7 linked regions of the Mus musculus genome follow. Each later gene encodes a partner of the first gene's protein in a complex. Links are inferred from orthologs where the notes say so. Each region holds a gene or a part of one and is shown in the gene's direction. Other genes may lie near its edges. The genes, in order: Bud13, Snrpd1, Sf3b2, Ppil2, Scnm1, Cwc22 and Sf3b5.

Evidence for each region.
Region 2: Bud13 (region 1) and Snrpd1 share a complex: the UniProt entries of both Homo sapiens proteins name them as parts of the minor spliceosome. The link is inferred for Mus musculus from reciprocal best matches to the Homo sapiens genes BUD13 and SNRPD1.
Region 3: Bud13 (region 1) and Sf3b2 share a complex: the UniProt entries of both Homo sapiens proteins name them as parts of the minor spliceosome. The link is inferred for Mus musculus from reciprocal best matches to the Homo sapiens genes BUD13 and SF3B2.
Region 4: Bud13 (region 1) and Ppil2 share a complex: the UniProt entries of both Homo sapiens proteins name them as parts of the minor spliceosome. The link is inferred for Mus musculus from reciprocal best matches to the Homo sapiens genes BUD13 and PPIL2.
Region 5: Bud13 (region 1) and Scnm1 share a complex: the UniProt entries of both Homo sapiens proteins name them as parts of the minor spliceosome. The link is inferred for Mus musculus from reciprocal best matches to the Homo sapiens genes BUD13 and SCNM1.
Region 6: Bud13 (region 1) and Cwc22 share a complex: the UniProt entries of both Homo sapiens proteins name them as parts of the minor spliceosome. The link is inferred for Mus musculus from reciprocal best matches to the Homo sapiens genes BUD13 and CWC22.
Region 7: Bud13 (region 1) and Sf3b5 share a complex: the UniProt entries of both Homo sapiens proteins name them as parts of the minor spliceosome. The link is inferred for Mus musculus from reciprocal best matches to the Homo sapiens genes BUD13 and SF3B5.

Annotation. Positions count from the first base shown.
Region 1 is NC_000075.6:46,286,012-46,289,511, forward strand, and holds part of Bud13 (BUD13 homolog), read left to right. Parts: intron 1-331; coding exon 332-422; intron 423-1,005; coding exon 1,006-1,090; intron 1,091-1,650; coding exon 1,651-2,424; intron 2,425-3,500. UniProt on the Homo sapiens protein: Involved in pre-mRNA splicing as component of the activated spliceosome. As a component of the minor spliceosome, involved in the splicing of U12-type introns in pre-mRNAs.
Region 2 is NC_000084.6:10,616,465-10,620,595, forward strand, and holds the start of Snrpd1 (small nuclear ribonucleoprotein Sm D1), read left to right. Parts: upstream 1-1,331; 5' UTR 1,332-1,448; coding exon 1,449-1,462; intron 1,463-4,131. UniProt on the Homo sapiens protein: Plays a role in pre-mRNA splicing as a core component of the spliceosomal U1, U2, U4 and U5 small nuclear ribonucleoproteins (snRNPs), the building blocks of the spliceosome.
Region 3 is NC_000085.6:5,292,656-5,296,674, reverse strand, and holds the start of Sf3b2 (splicing factor 3B subunit 2), read left to right. Parts: upstream 1-1,219; 5' UTR 1,220-1,280; coding exon 1,281-1,413; intron 1,414-1,587; coding exon 1,588-1,634; intron 1,635-2,298; coding exon 2,299-2,376; intron 2,377-3,355; coding exon 3,356-3,595; intron 3,596-4,019. UniProt on the Homo sapiens protein: Component of the 17S U2 SnRNP complex of the spliceosome, a large ribonucleoprotein complex that removes introns from transcribed pre-mRNAs.
Region 4 is NC_000082.6:17,094,253-17,097,752, reverse strand, and holds part of Ppil2 (RING-type E3 ubiquitin-protein ligase PPIL2), read left to right. Parts: intron 1-305; coding exon 306-397; intron 398-958; coding exon 959-1,048; intron 1,049-1,672; coding exon 1,673-1,748; intron 1,749-2,709; coding exon 2,710-2,870; intron 2,871-3,500. UniProt on the Homo sapiens protein: Has a ubiquitin-protein ligase activity acting as an E3 ubiquitin protein ligase or as an ubiquitin-ubiquitin ligase promoting elongation of ubiquitin chains on substrates.
Region 5 is NC_000069.6:95,131,213-95,135,301, reverse strand, and holds the start of Scnm1 (sodium channel modifier 1), read left to right. Parts: upstream 1-1,289; 5' UTR 1,290-1,406; coding exon 1,407-1,457; intron 1,458-1,673; coding exon 1,674-1,744; intron 1,745-2,013; coding exon 2,014-2,102; intron 2,103-2,190; coding exon 2,191-2,285; intron 2,286-2,388; coding exon 2,389-2,477; intron 2,478-3,275; coding exon of another isoform or gene 3,276-3,315; exon of another isoform or gene 3,316-3,496; intron 3,497-4,089. Other genes in the region: Lysmd1 (lysM and putative peptidoglycan-binding domain-containing protein 1), read right to left, coding at 306-485. UniProt on the Homo sapiens protein: As a component of the minor spliceosome, involved in the splicing of U12-type introns in pre-mRNAs. Plays a role in the regulation of primary cilia length and Hedgehog signaling.
Region 6 is NC_000068.7:77,901,357-77,904,856, reverse strand, and holds part of Cwc22 (pre-mRNA-splicing factor CWC22 homolog), read left to right. Parts: intron 1-631; coding exon 632-733; intron 734-822; coding exon 823-1,061; intron 1,062-3,500. UniProt on the Homo sapiens protein: Required for pre-mRNA splicing as component of the spliceosome. As a component of the minor spliceosome, involved in the splicing of U12-type introns in pre-mRNAs. Promotes exon-junction complex (EJC) assembly.
Region 7 is NC_000076.6:13,007,165-13,009,683, forward strand, and holds Sf3b5 (splicing factor 3B subunit 5), read left to right. Parts: upstream 1-1,285; 5' UTR 1,286-1,458; coding exon 1,459-1,719; 3' UTR 1,720-2,019; downstream 2,020-2,519. UniProt on the Homo sapiens protein: Component of the 17S U2 SnRNP complex of the spliceosome, a large ribonucleoprotein complex that removes introns from transcribed pre-mRNAs.

The DNA of each region.
Region 1 (3,500 bases):
GACAAGCCTGACAACCTGAATTCCATCCCCTGAACCCACATAGCGGAGGGAGAGAACTGACTCCTGCAGGTTGTCCTCTGGCCTCCATATGCATGCCATATCACATATATACACCATCACTGTCACACACACACACACACACTCTAAATGTCAAAGAACAACAGGTAAGGGGCTGGAGAGATGGCTCAGAGTATAGACTACTCTTCCAGAGGTCCTGAGTTCAATCCCCAGCAACTACATGGTGGCTCACAACCATCTGTAAAGAACAACAGGTAGGTAGGCCCGTGTTACAGCATGACTTCCGTTTTGAGTTTTTATTGTTCTCATCTAGAATGCGGATTGTTGATGATGATGTGGGCTGGGCGGCTATCTCTACTGCTAAGCCGGAAAAGGAGGAGGAAGAGGATGGAGATTTGCCTGTGGTATGTATCTCGTGGAGACTTTTGTCAGGACTTTGAAATGATCCAGGCTTCTCAGACTTGACACTGAGCAAGGGGAGAGGTGACCCTCAAGAGAGCTGTGTGGCACTGTTTCCTTCATGGTGCTTATACAGACAGACAGTCCCAACTTAATGTTTTTTTTTTTTTTTTGGTTTGGTTTGGTTTGGTTTGGTTTTTCGAGATAGGGTTTCTCTGTGTAGCCCTGGCTATCCTGAAACTCACTCTGTAGACCAGGCTGGCCTTGAATTCAGAAATCCACCTGCCTCTGCCTCCCAAGTGCTGGGATTAAAGGCGTGCGCCACCACACCCTGCTCCAACTTAATGTTTTGACTGTGCAGTGGTGTGGACATGATACATTTTCAGCAGAAAATGGTTTTGAATTTTTGATCTTCGGCTAGCACTGTTTGGTATGATAGTCTCATGATGGGCAGTAGAAGTCAGTCATGCGATCACAAGGAGAAGCAGGCAGTTCTCTGCCTGTAAGCTATGGCTCTGGGTTCTTGAGACAAGTGATCCTTGGCTGGGTCCTGTGGGTTTCCTCACTGTAGTGCCCCTACTCCTGCAGGTGGCTGAGTTTGTGGATGAGCGTCCAGAAGAGGTAAAGCAGATGGAGGCCTTCCGCTCCAGTGCCAAGTGGAAGCTTCTGGGAGGTGAGTGTCAGCAGCAACACAACTGCACATCTCATTTCCAGGATGGGTTCCTTCTGCTTCCCTGCCTTAGGGGAATGCCTGGTTTGTTTTATGTCAGTGATGATGAAAAACATGATGGGACAAAGATGTCAGGACTTTAGAAGAAGGGCATGGAACATTAGAGGCTGACTTGTCAGAGCCTGGAGACCAGCCTTTCCACGGTTCTAGAATGAAACAGCTCCTGTGGTCAGAGCCAGAGTTTTGTCTTTCACTTTGTGACTATTTCTCTGTTCTCCTGACTTTCCATAAACAAGGCTCTCCCATCTTCTCCTCCATCCCCTGTGTCTTCCTTTCCTTCCTTTCTTTTTTTTAAACCTTTGAGACGGTCTCAGTCTATAGTCTAGGTCACTGTGATTCAATCTTACTTCTTGAGATCTATTTAACTATAGAATATTCCTGGTGCTTGCTCTTTTCTTATACATAGGTGACAAAAGAATTGTCTCCTAAGTGGGGTTTGTTACCCTCTGTGCCATTAGGCCAGAGCACATTGTGGGACTCTTACTGTTTGCTCTTGTGTTTAGGCCACGGTGAAGATGGACATTTTCATCACGATGACCAAGATTCATCTCCTCCTAGGAGGGTCCGTCATGACACCCCAGACACATCTCCTCCCAGAAAGGCCCGTCATGACACCCCAGACCCATCTCCTCCCAGGAAGGCCCGTCATGACACCCCAGACACATCTCCTCCCAGAAAGGCCCGTCATGACACCCCAGACCCATCTCCTCCCAGGAAGGCCCGTCATGACACCCCAGACCCATCTCCTCCCAGGAGAGTTCGTCATGACACCCCGGATCTATCTCCCCCAAGGAGAGTTCGTCATGACACCCCGGATCTATCTCCTCCCAGGAGAGTCCGCCATGACACCCCGGATCCATCTCCTCCCAGGAGAGTCCGCCATGACTTAGATGCTTCTCCCCCCAGGAAGTCTCATCGTAATTCTTCAGCCGTATCTCCTAGGAGAGGCCATCATGGTTCCTTAGGTACCTCTTCTCCGAGACAGACCCATAACCACTCCCCTACTGCAGCCCAGCATAGAAGGACTCTTGACTCTTCAGGTACACAGCATCTCAGGAGGGCCCATCATGAGTCCCCTGATTTGGAACTGCACAAAGCCAAAAGTAGTAAAGCTGCAGAAAGAGCCCCTAGCAAGGCTGCATCCCAGAGTGGGCTAGGACCCTCTCACCCATCACTCTCCACCAACAGCAAGTACGAGCACGACTCTGACCTCTCTCCTCCACGGAAACGGCAAGCAAAGGCTCATTTTGAAGCTAAGAAACAGCTTGATTCTAAAGGTGAGCATAAGGCTATGCATAAGAGGACCTTCCTCCTGGGGAGTGTAAGAATGAGTTTCTTTTGGAAAGTTTTGAAAAAAGAGAGACTAGACTTAGGGGAGTTGAAAAATAAAAGGGTGGGGGGAAAGTTTCATGTCCTTTTGCTCACTCACCCTCCCCATAAAAAGGCAAAGATGGGGTGGGCTCAGAGGCTCAGAGGGTAAAGCATTGTCTTCACCACTGCAGTAAAAGGAGAAAACCGACCCCTGAAAGTTGTCCTCTGACCTCCGCATGTGTATGTCTGCGATCATGTACACACATGCACACATACAGTAATAATAAATACACTGACGTACAGGAATGTATAGACACAGCAGTGTCACAAAATTGTATCATTTAGACAACGTCATTGCTAGTGTTGTAGCCGGTGTCCTTAGGTGGTTTGGGCACGCATGTTGGGCGTAGTTGGGCCTGAGTGTACAGAGCATACTTGTTGCCTGTGGATTCTTGCCTGCTCGCTCCACTTACCAGTCTTCCCTGAGTTTGCCCTGAGGATATTTGACAATCATCATGTACATACACTGATAGCACAACTGGGATTGCTGCTTTTTTCTTTTTCTTTTTTTTTTAAGAGTTATTTATTTATTTAAATATATTAGTGCACTATTGCCCTCTTCAGACACACCAGAAGAGGGCATCAGATCCCATTACAGATGATTGTGAGCCACCATGTGGTTGCTGGGAATTGAACTCAGGAGCTCTGGAAGAGCAGTCAGTGCTCTTAACTGCTGAGCTGTCTCTCTAGCCCTGTATTATTTCTTTTTTTTTTTTTTTAAAAGATTTATTTATTATATGTAAGTACACTGTAGCTGTCTTCAGACATTCCAGAAGAGGGAGTCACTTGTTACAGATGGTTGTGAGCCACCATGTGGTTGCTGGGATTTGAACTCCGGACCTTCGGAAGAGCAGTCGGGTGCTCTTACCCACTGAGCCATCTCACCAGCCCCCTGTATTATTTCTTATCTTAGATCTCCTGGGGATTTAACTGATAGGTTCCTAGAAAACTATGGAGTTATTTACTAGGTCAGAATGTGTGG
Region 2 (4,131 bases), on another chromosome or scaffold:
AGCTGGCCCCAAGTGGAAAGGGGATTTGGGGTTAAGGAACACCAGGTGATCAGTACTGGCATTATTGCACCAAATGATATGCACAATGTATCCTTATAAAGCATACATTTTAATGGAGGGAGGTATTTAATTGTTCATAAATATCAATCAAGAACTGTAGATTTATCTTGCCATTACTAAAATTATTTTGAGTAGAAAGTATTAAAATTACCCCTGAGTCACCCTGGTTGGCTTTCCAGCATAAAACAGACAAAATCATTCGAGAGTTGTGTGAACCTTTCTGCCCAGACCTTGGACTAAGAATGTACCTGGCTCTGATTAGCTTAAAATAGACAAGGTATAATCTTATTTGGCTGAAATCTCTTTTTAGGGGGAAGGGAAGGTTCGAGATAGAGTTTGTGGCCCAAACTTGGACCACCATGCCTAGCTATGAAATAACGTTTCCCCTGTTTTATAACCCACATTACAAGGACCTCTGCTTTTCTTAATGTCCAGGCCCATTGTTCTGTTATAAGTCACCCTTAAGCTGCACACTGCAATTCTGGACTTGCCTGCCTCTTTCTTTGGTCTCATTGATCCTTGGGACCAGTTCCCATACATGGGGACAGGGGTGTTTGTTGACAAAATCACGTTCCATGTAAGCAGTTTTGGAGAGCGCAGAAAGCAGTTGTATTTCCTTGCTTTTAGACACGATATTCTCTCTAGAGCCATAAATAATAAATTATAGAATCAAATGATAATAAACTAATATCATCCAAATTCTTTCAAAATTATTTGCACTATGTTTGTAATTAGAGACAAATGTATATGTTGAGTAACTACATTTAACAGTGTGGTTATTGCAAATAAGGTGTTGAATTTTTTGTTTTAACTTTAACTGAAATATCCACATACATTTTTTTAAGTCGAAGGACTTGCTATATATAAAATTTATTTAAAACTCTGTCCTGAGAGTGGTTTTTCTAGTTTTAAGAAGGTACCCTGCATCCCCAAAGGAAAACCATTCTGTCCAAAGATTTGATTGGCTTAGCTTAATGTCAAGCCAAGTAAGGACATCTTGCAGGACCGAGTTCCCTGCTTCCAACATGTGAATCCCAAGTATTAAACTCGAATCTTAGTGGGCTTCTTTCAGAACTTCTCTTCCTTTAACATGTGAAAGTTCCAGGCCTTCACAAGTAGTTTTAATAACTTCGTAACTGGTCTAAAAAAACCTGCAGAAGATGTCGTCCACCAGCCCTCCCGCCCTCCGAAGGTGCAAAGCACTCCTCCCGTCGCTAGGGGCCGCTGTCGCCCTCCCGGTGGCCGGAAGGCAGCGCAGCTTCCGCGTTCTCGTCGCGCGTCCGCAGGCCTCCGCGCGCTTTTCCGGCCATTCATAACCCCAGTCCGTGGATCTCTGGAGCCTGAATTCTGTGAACAGTCGGGCCAGAAGGGAGAACTGCGTCGCTAGGATGAAGCTCGTGAGGTGAGGAGGGTACCCCCGCCGGGCGAGGACGACGGGTAGAGGATTTGGGGTCGGCTCGGGAGGCCGGGCCGCTGTGCTCCCAGGGAGGCGGGAAAGCCGCGTGCGCGCGGCCTGCTAACGGCCTCAGGCCCCCGGGCCCCGCCGCGCCCTGCCCGCCGCCCAGAGCCCGGGCGAGGGGCCAGCGCGCAGACCCCGCCGGTCTTCCAGGAATGGAGGGGCCGAGCCGCCTCTGCCCACCCAGTATCCGGCAGCTTAAACGGAGCAGTGGCCCGTTTTCTTGGCGAATCGGACCATTTGCACTGAGGAGGACTTAGTAGACCTAGCATGGTTTTATCTGCAAATGATGACGCCGATTTGCAAGACGTTTTAGACTAAGATCTCCTTAAATTTGACCAGTTATACGAAGTATGTAAGTGGTTAGTGTAGGCTTCTAACTCAGGAAAGACAAAATGTCCTAGGATGGGGCAGAAGGTAATAAATTAATTTCGCCTGCATAGTTAATATCGGAAGTGGAGCCTAACTAGAGGCATGCTGGTTTAATTCAAATGAACAGGCTTGGGTCAAGCCTGAGGCAGGTTATACAATATCAAGCAAATAACTAGAAATATTTAGTTTCTTGTTGAGTCAAGACTGTTGTAGTTGGCCAGAATGGCATTGAACACCTTCTGAAGTAGTTGTACATAATTCACAAGAATTCTTTTAAAACATTTTTGAAGTTTTTTTAACGGTGACTCATAGCCTGCTTGAAATTGGAAAAAAAAAAATTACTTCAGGAGGAATTTGAGGGAGAAGGCATTTAAGGTTAAAAAAATTTTCCCCTGTTCTGGGGATGGCACGCAGAGAGCTTCTAATAGTCACTTAACCTTGAGCTCAGCCCCAGTTCATTTGTATTTGGACTGTAACCTAGGTAGAATGCTAAGACTTGCCGTTTCTTTACTCCCTGATATGAACTATAATGTATTTACAGTAACATGTTCATCTCATTTAAAGGTTCTATTATGATAACTTTGCCAGCATCCTAGGCAGGTGCTCACTCTCCTGCTGCTGCTGCTTTGATTTGTCTTGGACCCTATTTTGTATAGCGCAAAGTATAGAGATTTCTAATTACAGGAGAATTTTTTTTAAAGATGTATTTATTTTATGTATGTGAGTACACTGTAGCAGTACAGATGTAGCAGTTGGGGCCTTCATGTGGTTGTTGGGAATTGAATTTTGGACCTCTTCTCGCTCTGGCCCAAAGATTGATTTATTATTATAAATAAGTACACTGTAGCTGACTTCAGAGGGTGTCAGATCTCATTACTGGTGGTTTTGTGAGCCACTATGTGATTGCTGGGATTTGAACTCAGGACCTTTGGAAGAACAGTCAGTGTTCTTACCTTGCTGAGCCATCTCGCCAGCCCCCAAGGGAGAATGTTTTTTGCCCTGTGAAAATGGTTGACTGGTTTGCACTTTTGGTGTGGGCTTTCTTATTTGTGCATGAGTTTTGTATTGGACTGTATTGCCTGTATTTATCCCGTTGCCACCTTGCCCAAACTTAGGAAGTGTGCTTAGCTACCTTTCTCTTAATCCTCCTGGCGTCTGGTAAGTTGCCAGGTTTCTTAATTTTTCTAACTGGAGATACTTCTCACTATCCAGTTCTCTTTGGTTTTCTATTCAAATAGGAAAAATTTGGGTACTAAAAGGACCCCATACACTTTACTGTTTGATGTGCCAGTCTCATTAAGAAAAGAATTCACAGCTAGGTGATGGTGGCCCATGCCTTGAATCCTCACACTTTCTCTGCGTTCAAGGCCAGCATGCTGTACAGCGGGAGTTCTAGGACAGCCAGGGCTACACAGAAAACAAAAGTAAGAAGAGAATTCACAAAATGAAGGACTCACTGGAAAATAATTTGAATTTATGTGTTCCTTGGCCTCTTTTTACTTTTATATTGAGACAGGGTCTCACAAGTTGTGCTGCCTGACTTGAAATCACTCTATCTCAGCTGACATTAGATTGAGAATCATCCTGCCTCTGCCTCCTGAGTGCTGGGATTAGAGGCCTTCACTGCCACCAACCAGCATCTCTAGATAGCATAAGGGAATTTTTGTTTCGTTTTGTTTTGTTTTTCGAGACAGGGTTTCTCTGTGTAGCCCTGGCTGTCCTGGAACTCACTCTGTAGACCAGGCTGGCCTCCAACTCAGAAATCCACCTGCCTCTGCCTCCCAAGTGCTGGGATTAAAGGCATGACCACTGCCTTGCTCATAAGGGAATTCTTCAGCAGAATATTTTCTTCACAAAAGGACCCTGTTCTCCCCACCTCCTCCTTTCTGAGTGCTGGAATTAAGTCTTTGCCACCGTGCCTGGCAAAATACTGTTTGTAATGTAGTAGTTTAAGGTTGCTGAAACGTTCAGCCTGTACTTGGTGTGTGTTACTATAGAAAAGTCGTGCTACTTACTTTCTCATGGGAGAATGGAATAGGTAATATCACTCGTGTAGTTTACTGTAGTGGATGTTATAGGAGTGCACAATGGATATTGTAGAAAAATAAGTAGACTGGAAAATCTGAATATGAAGTGTTATTAGATGATATTGTAGATTATCATTCCATTGCCATTTGGCTAAAATAAAGCATGAGTGATAATGTAGAATTCCTGGTGGGTTACATTCCTGAATATTAATAGAG
Region 3 (4,019 bases), on another chromosome or scaffold:
GAAAGGTCCTGAGGTTTTTTTGTTTTTCCTACAAGAATATAAAGTCCCCAGGTTAGATACCCCCACCTCCCAACTCATTTATTAGCTGCCTCCTGGATGCTAAATACTTCAAGATAGAAGAAGATCAAGTTCCAGATCCTGTTTGGGGGAATGGAGGTGGGAATAAAGGACAGGAAAGACTTAAAAATGAAACAAAGACAATGGATTAGCTGGCAGCAGTAAGCCCAGTTTTCAAGAAGCAGAGGCAGGAGGATTGCCAAGAGCTAGAGGTTGGCTTGGGCTCGATTTTGTCCCAAGACAGTCTGAACTACATGACTCTTGATCTTCCACTCCATGAAATCGGGTGTGATAGTATATATCTGTAGCCTGCAAAGGATCAGAAGTTCTAGGGTAGCCTGGGCCACATATGGACACATTTGTCTTAAACAACAAAAACCTTGGGGCTTGAGAATTGGTGTTAAGAGCACTGTTGCTTTTGCAGAGGACCTGGGTTCGATTCACAAAAGTGTAACTCCAGTTCCAGATCTGACACTTCTGGCTTCTACAGATACCAGGCATGCAAGCGGTACATATACATATAATAAAACACCTGAAAGGTGGAAAATGTATTAATGAACATTCCTCGAAAGGGGGAAGGAAGCATTTGACAGAGAATACATTTATTTAAGACTTTTTCGAAGGTGCAAAAGGGGATTTTATTTTAGCAGTGCCCTTCCCCCAGGTCAGCAGCTGGAACTCAGCTTGGCGGTCCGTTCCTCCACCGGCTCCGATCCCCTTTCAGCCCATTCAAGCACGCCTGGGCGGGAGTGAGCAGACAAACACTGTTTTATCAGAGCCATCGGCACCAACCTCCCATTCGGGCGCCGGAAAGGAATCTCTATGAGCTCCTAGGAGAAATAAGCACCCAGGTCTCTCATCATTGAAGGGTGTCGGGACAGAAGACTTAGTATGTGTTTGGCCAGGAGAGAAGAAGAATGCATCTGCTCTGGGTAGAGTAAGCTCTTGCAGCCAGGCAGCGGATGTATTACTACTGCTGCATACCGGATGTCATAGCGAGCGTTCGTCCTCTAGATGGCGCATCCGCAAACTACAACTCCCAGAAGGCTCTGCAACCTCCGTTGGCGGCGATTCCTATTCCCCGGTAAGGGAAAGGGCGTGTGTTTGGACCAAGTTCTCTCCAATCACCGCGGGACGTGGATTACGCAACCGGAAGTTTCTGGAAGTAGGCCCGGCGGCTGACCCGAGCTTCCGTGTTGGTCTCGCGCCTTCTTGTGGCTAAGATGGCGGCGGAGCATCCCGAACCTCCCAAAGGAGAGTTGCAGTTGCCACCGCCTCCACCTCCAGGCCACTATGGAGCCTGGGCTGCGCAGGAGCTTCAGGCCAGATTGGCAGAGATAGGAGCGCCGATCCAGGGTGAGGCGCAGAGGCGGTCGAGAGGGGCCCTGCGTGGGCTTGTGGCGAAGTGGAGCTTGGTTACCCAGGAGACCCACGGGGCGGGGGGCGGAGACAGGCCTGTGGGACCTGACCTCGCCAAATTGGCCTGCTCGAGGTGATGCTGACCCCCTGATTCTGTGCTTCGTCCTATAGGGAGTCGCGAGGAGTTAGTAGAGCGGCTGCAGACCTACACCCGTCAGGTGAGTGTTGTCAGTGCAGGCTAGGTCTCACTTTTCCTGGAGGCCTTTAAGACTACTCACGGATGGATCTTCGTTTCTCTTCTCTTCTCTTCTCTTCTCTTCTCTTCTCTTCTCTTCTTTCTTTTTTCTTTTTCTTTTCTTTTTTTTTTTTTTTTTGGTTTTTTTTTTTTTTTTTGAGACAGGGTTTCTCTGTATAGCCCTGGCTGTCCTGGACTCACTCTGTAGACCAGGCTGGCCTGGAACTCAGAAATTCGCCTGCCTCTCCCAAATGCTGGGATTAAAGGCGTGCGCCACCACTCCGCGGCTGGATCTTCGTTTCATATACTTTTTTTGTTTGTTCTTTCGCGATAGGGTTTCTCAGTGTAGCCCTGGCTGGCCTCAAACTTAAGAGATCCTAATGCGTTTGCCTTCCGAGTGCTCCAGCACACCGGGCTAGGTCTTTTTTGTGTACTTCAACGCAGCAAGCCGGCTCTTGACCATTTTGTCAGTTCTTGGTTTTGCTTTATTGTAATTACTTCTACTCCTGTTGCTTTTCTCAGGTTCCAGCCCCAGTCTCTGTCAAGTGGGCACTGGGTACATTTTGTTAAGTAAATAAATGGAAGAGGAGGTTATGTAATGGAATACGTCCTTGTAGTCTGACCTAGAGCTCTCTTTTTTCTTGTAGACGGGCATTGTCCTGAATCGACCAGTTTTGAGAGGAGAAGATGGGGACAAAGCGGCTCCTCCTCCTATGTCAGCACAGGTAAGAGATTGCTTCGAGGATCTTTTCTGCTCAGGATAGCCATGTGTTGAGCTAGCAGATGGGACCGTAAGTTAAGGGTGAGGTCTAAGGAGACAAAATTGTGACCTCTTCACTTCTGATTTAGTGCTGCTACTGTTTTAATCCCCAATGTCTACTCCTCCAAATTTGACTTATCACTCAAGATTCCACTAGAATATCTGGAAATGTTCCTTGATCCTTTCTCAGCTGGAAGTGGTCATGCTTTCTCCTGCCAGGTATAGCTCCCAAAGTTATTGAAACGGTAAAGGATAATGCCCTGACTTGAATAATATACTCCCTGCATCTAGTACAACGTAGATATCCTATGCCTTGGAATGTTGGTTATTACTTTTTTTTTAACTTATTTTTATGTATATAAGTGTTTTGTCTGAATTTGTATTTTGTCCAAGTTTCTACCTGTGCGTCACGTGCATGCAGTGTTTTAGGAGGCCATTGAAGGGCGTTGGGTCATTCTGGGGCTGGAGTTACAGAACTGTGAGCTTCCATCGGGGTGCTGGGAATTGAGCCCTGATATTATAGAAGAGCAGCTCTTAACTGCTTGGCCATCTATCCAGCCCTAGTTCCTATTTCTTTAAGTCCTTTCTGATTCTAGTATTTGTTTCTCTTCCTCTAAAGTTGTGGCTTTGACCTGGAGTTTATTGGTGTGTTTGTGTATGTGTGTTTTGTGAAGTTCCTGTATGGATTTTAGAGGTGTCCTTGTACCTCCTTAAATTGAATGCAAAATGTAATATGAATGTTCCTCATATTTTTTCAGAGAAGCTAATAGCTTTGATCAGTGTGCTAAAGTTAGCATCTTTTGATTCTTTTATGGTGTATTTTCTTGAATCCTACGTCATTAGACTTCAAATTCTAGTATCTGGCTCTTTTGCTAGGTCTCTAGCAAATGCTTATAAATTGAATAAATGCTTTCTAATTCATAGCTGTATTTTTTTCCCCATAGCTGTCTGGGATTCCTATGCCACCACCACCTATGGGACTTCCCCCTCTACAGCCTCCTCCACCACCTCCACCACCTCCACCAGGCCTTGGCCTTGGCTTTCCTATGGCTCACCCACCAAATCTGGGGCCCCCACCACCTCTTCGAGTGGGTGAGCCTGTGGCGCTGTCAGAAGAAGAACGGCTGAAGCTGGCACAGCAGCAGGCAGCTTTGCTGATGCAGCAAGAGGAGCGTGCCAAGCAGGTAGGACAGGTGGAAACCTGTACCTGGGACACATTAGGTCCCTGACGGGGAAATGGAGCCTGAGAAAGCTAGACCCTGAGGCCAAGCCTTTTAGGAAGGTCTTGGTTGAAGACTAGAACGTAGGTATAGTTAGACTCCCAGGAAGCCAGTATTTTGGCAGATTGGCCTGGGCCCTATTGCTGCTAGTGTGAGATTCACTGAAGCAACATGAACTCTTGGGGTACTGGAAGACGGTGATGTTTTTCTCTCTGACTTGACATCTTGCTCTATCCAGAGGATGCCATTTAACATTATTTAATGTCCAAACCAAGATGCTTCATTCAAATTTGCCTTGGAGGCTACCTGATAACCAAATAGGTTCTAGTGCTTCCATCTTTTCTGTAGTCCAGGAGTTAGCACACTATGTGTGCCCTGCTTGTGGATG
Region 4 (3,500 bases), on another chromosome or scaffold:
CCTCCGTCTCTTTTTTTCCTCCTCTGTCCCGTCCTCCCTGTCTCCCTCCAGCCTCCCTTCTTCCCTCTCTCCTCTCCTGTGGTACTTGTTGGATGTAGAACTTAGCACATGCTAGGCAAATACCCTGCTGCCACTCCCTTTTAGAATTCCACTTTGAGACAATGTCGTGGTAGATTGTCCAGCTAGCCTTGTACTCTGTTCTTCTGCCTTAGTTTCCTGGGTAGCTACAGTTAAAATATGTACTATCATGATTGTTTAATCAAAGCCCTTGAGGGCCACTAGTCCTGTGTGTGCTTTCTCTCTAGGGCAGTACCACTGTCCAGTGCTGTATTCCGTGTTCACTGACAACACCCATATTGTGGCCATCAGGACAACTGGCAATGTCTACACCTATGAGGTAGACCCCCATTGCAATGAGTGGGACTATCTAATGTTGGGCCCGAACGTGTGCCTGGCTGAGTGTTGAGGTTGAACCAGGAACAGTGAGCATGCCTGTCCTCATACCTTTCGTAGCCTCTAGCACAAGACATTATCTCTAAAATAAAGGTCAGGTGACTCTAGTGGCCTTTGGACCTCAAACCCAGGCTGGCAGTTTGGGCTGCCTAAGCAAGGATTCCTTGTAGCCTGGAAAGTATTACCCTCTCTTCAGCATGGACCAGACTCTGGAACAAACATGGGAGTAAAGGGAGATAAAAAGAGGCCAGGTTCTTAGGACAGGGGCCAGGTTGGCAGGAGGGACATGAGCTGTCTCCATTCCTGGCTCAGTCTAGGATGAGGACAGGCATGATACAGGAGGGCCCATGTTGGAACTCTTGCCAGAAGCGGCCAGGTTGGTTTGGCTAGTCTCTGCCAGACAGGTGAGAACTCTTGAGACTACCCCAGAGTGGCCCTGTGTGCTTGTTTACCTCATACCTCTGTGCCGGCCCAGAGGAACTGTGATATCTCTGTACTGCTCTAGGCAGTGGAGCAGCTAAACATCAAGGCCAAGAACTTGCGGGATCTGTTGACTGATGAGCCCTTTTCCAGGCAAGACATCATCACCCTGCAGGTAAAGAGCTTCACAGGAAGTGCCTTGCCTTGACCCTCCGCTCTGCCCTCTGCTCTGCACTCTGCCCCCCAGCTTTCTTCACCAGGCTTGGTGGTCACCTGTACCATAACACCCCTGCCTGCTGCTACCCAACTATTGCTTAGTGCCACCCCCTCCCCCTACAGCCACCATGGACCATGACTGCCTCTGGCTCTCATGGCTCCTGTATGAGGGCTACACTTGCCTCATAACTCTCTTAGGTGTTAGGACACTTAGGCTGCTTTTCAGGTCCCATCCCTACTCTCAGAACAGCAGCTACACAGTTGTCCCCGTGGTGGTGTGTGAATGGCCTCGAGGGAGCACAGGCTAGGATAGGGTTAAACGACTCTGTGGTTGTTACTGAAGCTTGGTCCAATGGCTTCCCAGTCCACATCCTGTGCTACCTGGCAGCAAGCCTCATTCCTTATTTTTGAGGCCTAAGGCAGGGCACACTGCTTGATGAACAGGTAGGCAGTCTGTGCCATCTTGCTTGTCACTGGGTTGGGGCACAGCCTTGGCCTCCTTCCAGCCTTCAACATCTGGCACAGGTGGGTGAAGTGCTTGACACAGTCCATTGTACTTCTGAGTGTTCTCTTCTTTTCACAGGACCCCACCAATTTGGACAAATTCAATGTTAGCAACTTCTTCCATGTGAAGAATAACATGAGAATAATAGACCCAGGTATGGACACCTAAAGGCTACTGTGAGTGACTACATGTTCTCGGGCAAGTCCTTCCTTCTGGGGGGCCCAGACACTATGCTTCTGAGTGGCTTTTGACTATCATGACATTTGCTGTATAGATGAGGCTGTCCTTAAATGTGCAGCATCCTCCTGTGTTTCCCTTCTAAGTGCTGGCATTACAAGCGTACACAACCATGTCTGTCAGACGGTTAGAGAAGCAGCTGAAACACAGACACCTACCTTTCCCTAGCTCTGGTGGGACTGTGCTTTCTGGATTGCCGTTGGCCACTGTTCTTTCCAGGGTACAGTGACAGGGCTGCAGGTGAGACTGGGTGACATGAGACTTGTCTAGGGCCCTGACCTTCCTGCTTCCTGTGCTTGGTCCACACCATTGACCACACTGTAACATACTGTAATGTACTATAACATACTATGCAGTGGCTCAAGTTTCTGAGCTCACTTGTGCCATGCCAAGGAGCCAGCTACACACAACTCAGGGATAACTGCGCTCAGGAGACCCAGAGGCCAGGCCTAGGGAAGCTCACTGCCCAGTAAGTTACAGCCTTTGGCCTAGCAGGCAACATGTGGCCTTCCTTCCCTTGAAATAAACACGTTTAAATTCACAAAAGCAAAACATCATTGTGAAAAGGCTGCAGTAGAGGTAATACAGGAAACAGGGTGACTCCCACATCCCTTCAGGCCTGGGGCCACTCACCATGACAGCGTCTTCTGTGTGCTCCACCAACCCCCTTGTTGCACCTACTAGAGCTCCTGCCAGATGATCAAGGGCAGTAAGTCATGGCTGTGCTAAGACCAGCGAACCCTGCCCTAATCAACTCACCTGTGGCTTCTTCTCATGTGGCCTTCCCCATCTCTATTCCTATTAGCTCATCTTGAGGCTCTTTGGGGCCTTGGTTTTCTGGGGCCTTGGCTGCTCCGTTCCAATATACTGTTTTATAGATGAGGAAAAGGCCAAACAAGACCCATCTTATTATTTGAAAAACACAAATTCGGAGACGAGAGAGACGCTACAGGAGCTCTACAAAGAGTTCAAAGGAGATGAGATTTTAGCAGCTACCATGAGGCCACCTGAGAAGAAGAAGGTGGACCAACTGAATGCGGTGAGTGGGGCACTCTGCCTGACCGAGAAAGATCCCAGGGGAGGTGCTCACGGGGCCTAGATGCATTTGCTGGCATGGTGGCAGGGACCTTCCCAGTGCTGTTGGGCCCTCCAGGGCTGCTGGGGTGACTGGGCCCCAAACAGATCAGGAGGGAATAGCACACTCTTGGGGTGGAGGAATGGTTGACAAGCTGGGGTCCCATGGCAACAGTGGCTCAGCAGAAATAGGGCTGCCTTATGCTACTGGCCCTGACACAGGCTTCAGTGACCAATGTTCCCGCTTTCTTTGGTGTTCCAAAGGCAGCTTTTACATTTCAGGACAGAGATAGGAGGGTGTGCAGATCTGTGATGGCAGGGAGGGCTAGGGTTGCTATAGCTACTAAGGTCTCAGCCCTTACCTGGGCCCTACCGGGGACGAGCATGCTTCTCTGCCCTATGCCGTAGCTACAGCTGTGGTGCTGGAATTTCTTTAGCACATTTAGCCGATAGGTGCTGTCTTTCTCCCAAGTAGACTGAAGTCTGGAGAGCCTGAGCCATGGGGAAGGCAGAGGTGGAGTCTCCCACATAGGGATTTTCTAGGAAAATGTGGAAAACCAAAGTTCATCTATAATTTCCCAAGCTGAACACAGCT
Region 5 (4,089 bases), on another chromosome or scaffold:
TACTCTGACACTTAAGTGATTCGACCTTGATCAAACTGGTTTATCAGTCTTAAGTTGATAGGGACACAAGTCCAGTTAATGGCTGTAAGCCCCGCCCCCACTCACCCACCTCCCTCACCATCTACAGGAGTTGCTCCTCCCACTGGGATAGTTGGGCAGATCTGTCCCAACAGTGCTCTGCTGAGATGTGAAAGCAAAATAAGGAAGAAAAAAAACAGACCATAATAGAATTTAAATAATGTGAGAGGGGGCATCTTAGCGGGCCACCCACTTTCTCGGGACTATCTCAATTCTGGAAGACTCACCGTTACCCCGTATTTGAGTGCTAATCCAGCCAGGGTGTCTCCAGGCTCCAATTGATGCTCCAGGCGTCTTTCCCTCACTGGGGAGCAGGATGATTGTACCAGGCTTCCATAAGAACGAGCACGGCTCCCATGCAGCAGCCCTGACCCCCCGAGGGGAGGCTGTCTAGAGGGAGAAGCCATCTCCTCACTGTCAAGACCTAGGGTCACAACTGAGGGAAGCCCAGCTAAGTAACAGTGACGGCCGAACCCAAGGAATGGATATTCAGATAATTCGTTTTCTCTTCTCTCGTCTCTCTACAGTCTCCCGACTCTCGAGAGACTACATTCGTCGTCCTCCTCTTGCTGCTTCTTGCCGTGCCTGGAGTTACTGTCCGTCTCTTAAGAAGTCTGCCAGGCCGGTTACATTTCTCTTTCCACGAGCTCCTTACCCATAAGTATCTTCCCTGAGCTGTCAGTCGCTGACCCGGTTGACTTTCGACGCCCCCTCCCCAACTCCTCGCAAGCCTGATCTCTGACCTTTGAACCCTAGACACCCTCATCAACACTCTTCCCTCAGTGTATCCCCACATCCAACAGTCGGGATGCCGGGTGCTCCCACATCCTCTCTGTTCCAAATAAGGCCCACCCCAGGTAGGTTGTGGCTGAGGAGTACGAGCCTGAGGACAGCAAGAGTTTGTAGTATATAGTCCACTGAGATCCCTGACGCCTCGCTCCACATCAGGAAGGTCCCACCCTGAAATTCCGGCTCCACATACAGGATCTTGAGTCTCCGAACACCTGGATCCTTCGAGATGTGAGGTCCTGTGTCCAGGTGAGCAGTGTGCTCTTCAAAAAAATAAAAAAATAAAATAAATAACCAAAAGACTTCATTTCCCAAAAGGCACAGCGTCTCAAAGTATTGTAGGAAATGCAGGCCCCCTCAGGGCGCTGGAGGCGGGTCTTCCGGTTCGCGCGACGCAAGCGTGGAACATCATCCCCGGAAGTACAGATTCAACAAGAAAGAAACCGGAAGCAGAGAAGGCGATAGTGTACTCTTTCTACGGTGGCCTAAAGGAGCAGCGAAGTAGGCGTAGGGGAATTTATCGTAGTCTCACAGTCGCTATGTCTTTTAAGAGGGAAGGGGACGACTGGAGTCAACTCAATGTGCTCAAAGTAAGCCTTAGTGAGAGTCTGATCACCTTCAGCCGCCCTGTTGTTTTGTTTTGTTGCTCTGGCGACATCTAGGGGAGGGCTTAGGGGACCAGAACTGAGTGGTGACCCCTACTACCCTATGATCTGCATAGCCCCGTGTGCCATTTGACTCCTTATCCATACTATTTCATTTCCATCCGTCCCTCTTACTCATTTCTCCTATCCTGCTCCCTGCAGAAACGGAGAGTTGGGGACCTGCTGGCTAGTTACATCCCTGAGGACGAGGCACTGATGCTGCGGGATGGACGGTGAGAGCGAAGAGTGGATCAAGCCTGGGGATTCGGGGATCAAAGGCTCAACAAACTTTTGTCACTAAGGAGTTCAGGAGTATAATAGGACTCTTTGGCTGGAAGTGAAGTGTAAGGGGTGGAGATCGGGAAACCTGGGAGTTGGTGGTGGAGTACTCTGACAGAAGTAGGACCTACTCACCATAGCAAGAACACCCCGACTGCAGGCTCTCGAACACACAACATACACACCACACACCACACACATCATTCACTTCTCGTTTCCCTAGCTTTGCTTGTGCCATCTGCCCCCATCGACCAGTACTAGACACGCTGGCCATGTTGACAGCCCACCGTGCAGGCAAGAAGCATTTGTCCAGTAAGTATCAGAGAAGTGGGGAGGGCGGGAGATGGAGAGCAAGCCACCAGGCATTGTGCTTTTCATTCCTCCTTGCTTTTGTTCTCAGGTCTGAAGCTTTTCTATGGCAAAAAGCAAACAGGCAAGGGAACAGAGCAAAATCCAAGACAGCAGAACGAATTGAAGACAGAAAGCAAAACTGAGGTGAGAGGGCATCAGGTGTGGTTTAGACAGGGCTATACTTCACACAACAGGCTTGAGGGAACGTTTGCTCCTAACAGCTCTAACTCTGTCTCTTCATCACCAGGCTCCTTTGCTAACCCAGACTCGAATCATCACCCAGAATGCTCTACACAGAGCTCCCCACTATAACAGTTGCTGCCGGAGGAAGCACAGGTCCGTGGAATGGGAAAGCCAGGAGTGGAAAAGGGTAGAAGGAAATAGATGACTTTAAAGTTATTGCTCTCCAGATTGTATTCTGAGAAATAATAATCTTGTGGAAATATTTTTTTTAAATGATGGTAGGGGCTGGACAGATGGCTCAGCAGTTAAGAGCACTGACTGCTCTTCCAGAGGTCCTGAGTTCAATTCCCAGCAACCACATGATGGTTCACAACCATCCATAATGAGATCTGGCGCCCTCTTCTGGGGTGTCTGAAGACAGCTACAGTGTACTCATATATATAAAAGAAATCGTAAACCATCATTTTTTCAGGTTTTTTGTTTTTTGGGTTTTTTGTTTGTTTGTTTTTTGAGACAGGGTTTCTCTGTGTAGCCCTGGCTGTCCTGGAACTCACTCTGTAGACCAGGCTAGCCTCAGAAATCTGCTTACCTCTGCCTCCCAAGTGCTGGGATTAAAGGCGTGCACCACCACTGCCCGGTGGTTTATGATTTTAAAATAAATTTTTTAGCAAGTGGAAAATTGTAGAATAATCATACTTATTAGGAACATTAGGGCTTGGTGAGATGCCTCAGTGGTTAGGAACGCAGGGGGCTCTTCCAGAAGTCCTGAGTTCAATTCTTAGCAACCACATGGTGGCTCACAACCATCCAAAAGGGATCTCTTCTGGCATGTAGGTACACATGCAGACAGAGCACTCCTATATTTTAAAAAGTGCAATAAATAAATACATTCAAAAAGAGAGAATTGTAACATTAGTAGAGCACGGTGGTGTACTTTTTGTTTGTTTGTAGCCCTGGCTGTCCTGAAACCCTGCTATTTAGACCAAGGTGACCTCATATTCACAAAGATCTGCCTGCTTCTATCCCTCAAGTGTTGGGATTAAAGGTGAGCACTCCATGCCTGGCCTTGGAAAATCTTAAGACAAAAACTTAGAACCAGCCGGGCAGTGGTGGCGACGCCTTTAATCCCAGCACTTGGGAGGCAGAGGTAAGCAGACTTCTGAGTTTGAGGCCAGCCTGGTCTACAGAGTGAGCTCCAGGACAGCCAGGACTACACAGAGAAACCCTGTCTCGAAAAACCAAACCAAACCAACCAACCAACCAAACAAACAAACAAAAAACTCTTAGAACTATGTATTAGAGCATAAGGAATATGGAAAGTTACAAAACTTATGGAATATCTGTCTATATTGAGGTAATTTATTGTAATGACTTACAGTTTGTAGTCATGTTGTTGGGTTACAACAATGGGCAGCTGTGAATGAGAAGTCTAAGAATCTAATAGTTGCTCAGTCCCACAAGGCTGGTTGTTTCAGCTGGTCTTGTATAAATAGGTTCTAAAGATGTGCTTGGCAAGTAAGTGCAAGCAGTGGAAGAAGAGTGAGTCTTCCTTCTTCCAGTGGTCTTATGTAGGCCTCCAGCAGAAGGTGTGGCCTACATTAAGGCGTGTACACCACACCTGGATCTGGGACTTGCTTTGTCCCAGGCTGACTTTGAATCAGAGTTCTCCTTGCCTCCTGGGATTAAAGGCATGTTATACCTTGCCTGGACCTAAGCTTTTCACAGCCACTGTGCCTCAAGATCTCCATGCCAAGATCCAGATCAG
Region 6 (3,500 bases), on another chromosome or scaffold:
TGCTTCTACACAGTTTAGATGTGCATACATATGTACATAAAAAGAAAAGCTATGGAAGGCCTTTACATTTTTCTGTGCATGCCCACACTACATACTTGTGTGCATATAACCATGTACATATGTTATTTGCCATCTCTATCTTAGTGTGTAAAAAGTTTCCAAATCTGTTGTGTAATTACAGAAATCAACTTTAAGGGCCAGTGAGATGTCTCCGTGATTAAAGGACACCAAGTCTGAAATAAGCTGAGTCCCTGACAGCCACAGGTGGAAGGGAAGAACCACCTCCCACATGTCCTCTTACCTGCGCGCGCGCACACACACACACACACACACACACACACGCACACACGCACACACGCACACACACGCGCGCACACACACGCACACACACACACGCACACACGCACACACACACACACACACACACACTGCAAAGGCATTTTTTTTAAAGAGACGAACTTCAGTGACTTGTTCCTCATTACCTATTATATTTAGGGAGCCTTATGTATAAATGCATAAACCACTTTCTTATATTTCACTTACTGATTTAACAGGTAGAAATTCTGATAGGTGGCTATAGGCGCTTTCATTTGCACTTTCTCCATTTCCTTCATTCCTTTTTCCGTTTCAGAACTCTCCAGCCATTCTTTGAAGGTCTGTTACCCAGAGACAACCCACGCAATACCCGGTTTGCCATCAACTTCTTCACTTCCATAGGTCTCGGAGGATTGACGTAAGGATCATTTGCAGAATTTTATCTTTAGTTACAACATTATGTCAAGTGCCTGGTATACATAGTGTAACACATTACATCTGTGTTAGGGATGAACTGCGAGAACATCTGAAAAATACGCCCAAGGTCATCGTAGCCCAGAAACCAGAAGCTGAACAAAAGAAACCAGCCCTGACATCTTCATCTTCAGAGTCTTCCTCGGCGTCTGATTCCTCTGACTCAGAATCTGACAGCAGCGAGAGCAGCTCAGAGTCCTCTAGTGATGCGAGCGACTCCTCCTCCTCCTCCAGCACTCAGAGCTCTACCTCAGGTATCACGGCTCATTCAGGTATTACCCTGCTCATTTCTAACAATTGCAGGGCTCGATTGCTGCTTACTTATTTTTGCCATCTATTTAAAACATTTATTATTGGAGATGGTCATGTGTCACTGACAGTCTGCAGTGTTATATCTGTTTCAGAAGCCTCTTAGACAGGGCTAATTCATTGGCAGCTGCGATTCCAGGGATGTCCATGTGTTTACAGGGCCCTCCTGAGGCTTTATTACAAGGCATGTGGGTTTTAGTTGTAGTCAAGCTTTATGTGGCTACTTGACATCATTGTACTCATTGGACGGCTCACTGGGGGCTTTGCCGTACCTAGCTTTCCCCAGATTCTGATTTGTAAGTCCATCACTTAGTCTTGCCTCTTGTTTTGCTGACACAAGGTCTTACAACATAATTAAAGCTAGTCTTCTCCTCACTGTGCAGCCCAGTTTGATCTTGAACTGCAGTCTCTGTGAGCCCCAGCCTTCCGAGTGCTGGGTTTTCAGCAGTCCTGCTATAAGCGTCATCTTGCCCAATGTTTGCCTGGCTTGTTTGTTGTTGGATGTCTTGTTTCATTTGTTTTTTGGAGTTTTATATGCATTCTAGATTTTCTGTTCATTTACTGTCTGGCAGGGGCTAGCCTTGAACCTGATCCTCTCTGCCCCTACTTCTCAAGTGCTGGGTTTAGAGACTTATACTTCATGCATGTTTTAATTTTATAATTATTAATTATGAACTTCTTTGTATCTAATGTTTCCTTCATTGTTATGTTCACAAAATAGTCTTACATTTATATTGATCCACCTACATTAGTTGCTGTACATATTCATGTCTGATGTCCTATGTGCATCTTTTAATGAATTTACATATATAGTATCTTCCTCACTACACAGTCCAGGCTAGCCTTGAACTGCATTTTTGTTTTGTGTGTGTGTGTATGTATGTGTGTGTGCACATATTTATACATATACGTGTGCATATAATATATGTATGTATGTATATATACTCATATATACATATGTGTATATATATCATTAGCTTGTATTCTTGGTTTTTCAACTTTACAATGATACAAAAGCTGTATAGTAGAGTCAACAGAAATAGTACTTAGAAGTCTGAATTTTTCTCTCTTCCTGAGCTCCTATGTGTGAGTAACTCTTGTGTGATTTCTACCTAAAGACTAACAGGTATTGTGGGCATGCTTAAGGAAGGCTGTACTAAATTGTGTTTTTTGGGGGTTGGGGGTATAAAAAACATTTTTTATTGATTTATTTATTTTATGTATATGAGTACATTATTGCTCTTTTCAGACACACCAGAGGAGGGCATCAGATCCCATTACAAATGGTTGTGAGCCACCATGTGGTTGCTGGGAATTGAACTCAGGACCTCTGGAAGAATAGTCAGTGCTCTTAACCGCTGAGCCATCTCTCCAGCCCTATTAAAAACATTTTTATGACATGTCATCTTCAAGACATAATCTCATCTTAACTTGAGGAATGCCCATGTGTCCATTGTCCATTTCTTTTTAGTTATGTAGCTATAGAGTCACTACTGTATGATTTTTAACCATCCTGTTGATGATACTGCCTTACAGCTTTCATTTTAATTTGCATTTTCTCCATCACTAATAAAACTGAGCATAACATTGTTATTGGCCATTTGGATGTTTTCTCTTTTGTTCAAATCTGGCTTTTCCCGCCTTTTTGAGTTAACTTCTTATGTTTTAGGGTTTAGCTGTACTGTATTCTCCTCCCTCTCTCTCTCTCTCTCTCTCTCTCTCTCTCTCTCTCTCTCTCTCTCTCTCTGTGTGTGTGTGTGTGTGCGTGTGTGTGTGTGTGTGTGTGTGTGTGTGTGTGTGTGTGTGTGTGTGTGTGCGTGCGTGCGCTCACGTGTGTGTCTGTGTTGGATGTATATATTTGAAGTTAAGTAGCTCACATTTGTGTCTGTGAGGCTACTAGAGCTCTGTTTTCTTTTGGCTTTTTTTCCCTCAGCAGCAACCCTGGGTCAGCAGATGCTCCCGGGAGGAGGTGGCTACAGCCCATCTTACTTCTCTGCATTTCTTTCTACCTTCCCTAAACTTGAGGGAGTTTGGTTCTTGTTTTCTTAACAAGTTCATGTGTTTAGTTTTATAATATTTTATCTTTAACTAACTTCACACTTACAGGGAAATCACAATCCACATATATCCTTTGCCTAACTTTCCTCAGTTAGCCTCTCATACAAACAATGTAATTATGAAACTATGGAAATGCACACGACACAGTACTGGTAACAGATCTCATTTGAATTTCGTGAGCAGTAAAGCAGTAGATGAGTGAGTCAGGGTGCCAGAATGCCAAGTACTAGCTTTGGCATCCATGGGGCGGGTAAACCGAGGCAGGCAACTGCTGGGGATCGGTGCTTAGAGCCACTGACTAGGTCAGTCCAGATACTGACAAGGGCTGCTGCCAGTGGCAGCCT
Region 7 (2,519 bases), on another chromosome or scaffold:
ATAGTATGGCTGGATGGCATATCCACAGGTATTGCCGTATAGTCTCTATATTTTAGGAATAAGATGTGTATTATGTTGTCTAAGTCTTGGTGTTGGTTGGTTTTATTTTTTTTTGAGACAGAGTTTCTCCTTGTAGCCCTGGCTGTCCTGAAACTAGCTCTGTAGACCAGGCTGCCCCTGAACTCAGAGATCTGCCTGCCTCTGCCTCCCAAGTGGTGGAATTAAAGGTGTGTGCCACCACCACCTGGCATGATGCTTATTATGACAAAATTTAAACAGAAGAATTAATATTGGATGGAGCGGAACTCACCTCTAATCCCAGCATTCAGGAGGCAAAGGCAGGAGGATTGCTGTGAGCTCAGGGCCAGATCCTCCCCCCACCAAGTAAACAAAAGTACCCCCAAACTCCTGTATTTTCAAATTGTCTGTCATTGTCCATTCTCTTTGGCTGTGACTGCTCTTACCCCATTCCTAAAATGGTTTTTTGAGAGTACAATCTACATCAGGCTATACATGTATCCTTAAGGGATACCATAAAAGAAGTACAATTATCTTTTCTGAGTTGTTTGTAACGTGAGAAAGTGCACAACCCCCAACGTAAGGCAGTAATCAGCAGAAAAACACAGGTGACTAGAAAGAGAGGTGTTCTTTCTATCTATCTATCTATCTATCTATCTATCTATCTATCTATCTATCTATCTATCTATCTATCTATCTATCTATCTATCTAGTCTTGAACCACATCTGACTTCAAGGAATAGCTTTTGAGTGACCTAGAGCAAACAACCCCTCAATGGGTTGAGAAACGGGAGCCTGGAGCTCGTTGTGGGAGCCATTAGTGAGACTACTGGGGCTGACACTGATCACCAAAAATACTTTTCCCAGTGCCCAAATTCTAAGAGACAAAGCTGGGACCGCGGGGGAACCATGCTGCCACGTTAGCTTCTAGGTACAAGAGTTAATTTTCCTGGTTGCTTGTAGTTGAAACCCTCTTGGATTTCCCCTTCTTAGTAGCCCAGAGCCGTGGGATAACTCTCAGAGGCCGTTTGCCATCGTCCTACAGCAGCCAGGCAAAAACAAAACAAACAAAACAAAACCCTAAAACAAACTCTTTGGACTACTTGTTCCAGAATGCAACGCTCAGACTAGAACGTGATCACCCGAGAGCCACTAAGCGGACCATCATGCAACACTCTTCGAAGTAGGCGGGCTCCGTGAGGAGACGGCCCAGTGTTTCCTAGGCAACTCCAATCCCGCGACAGACGGCACTTCCGCTTCCGCCTAGGAAAAGACTGTCTACTCCTGCGTCTCGGTGGCGTCTTTCTCCCGCGCCTGCACGAACTGAGGTTTTGCGTGGCGGCGGCGGCACCGGCAGCGGCAGCGTCTCTCACTTGAACGCCGCGAGCGGCAGCTTCTCGTCTGTGTCCTGACCTCGGAGCCTACGAGCAGAGCGGCGCGATGACGGACCGGTACACCATCCACAGCCAGCTGGAGCATCTGCAGTCCAAGTACATCGGCACGGGCCACGCCGACACCACCAAGTGGGAATGGCTGGTGAACCAGCACCGCGACTCCTACTGCTCCTACATGGGCCACTTCGACCTCCTCAACTACTTCGCCATTGCCGAGAACGAGAGCAAAGCCCGCGTGCGGTTCAACCTGATGGAGAAAATGCTGCAGCCCAGCGGGCCGCCCGCGGACAAGCCCGAGGAGAACTGAGGTGAGCGCTGCCCAGTCTTCCCCGTGTGCCGGCTGCGAGCCTCCTTGCTCCTGCATCTCGACCATTCCGTGTTGGCTGTGTCGCCTGACCTGCGTACCTGTGGAGGATTCGGAACAAGTCATGGAGAGACTGTCCGGGTCCGCTCCTTGTGAACTGTGCAGAAGGAGTGATCCCAGCATCGGCAAGCGAGGGAGAAGACTGCACGAGAGTGATGCGCATTTCGAGTCTGCTTTTCGATAGTTGATGTCTTCTTGCCTTTTTAAAAAACCATATATATATAAAGTTTAGGGTTTGCTCTATTCTTTGGTATGGATTGCTGTGTTCTTTGGGAGGTTATTAGGAGAGGGTTCTGTGGATCAAGGTTTTGTGAGAGTATAAATAGGAAATGGGGGCAGAAGCACAGGGCAAGTCCTTAAGTCGTCACACACACTTTTATGATATTATCCCACCTCAATAGTCTTCACGCGTACAGTGTGTCTGGTCCCAAAGAAACCTTGAAGCGCGGAGATTGCCCATATCCCTTTCCTACCCTTCCCTTTATGCGCTACCCCTTACCCCTTTTTCTTGATGATTACCCTTTGTGTCTTCAGAAATGATAAACTGGCAAACAAGTGGTATCACGTCCCCATCCTGCTCAGCGCCCCATTCCCCCCACCCCTCTTCCCTTTTCACCAGAGCATTTTCCAAAGGTTTGAGGGCATACATTATGCCAGCTTGAAGAGTTTACAACTTTAAAAACCATGCTTACAATGCTACTTTACTGAGATGTCATTTGAGAACAGATTTTAAGGAATCAAGA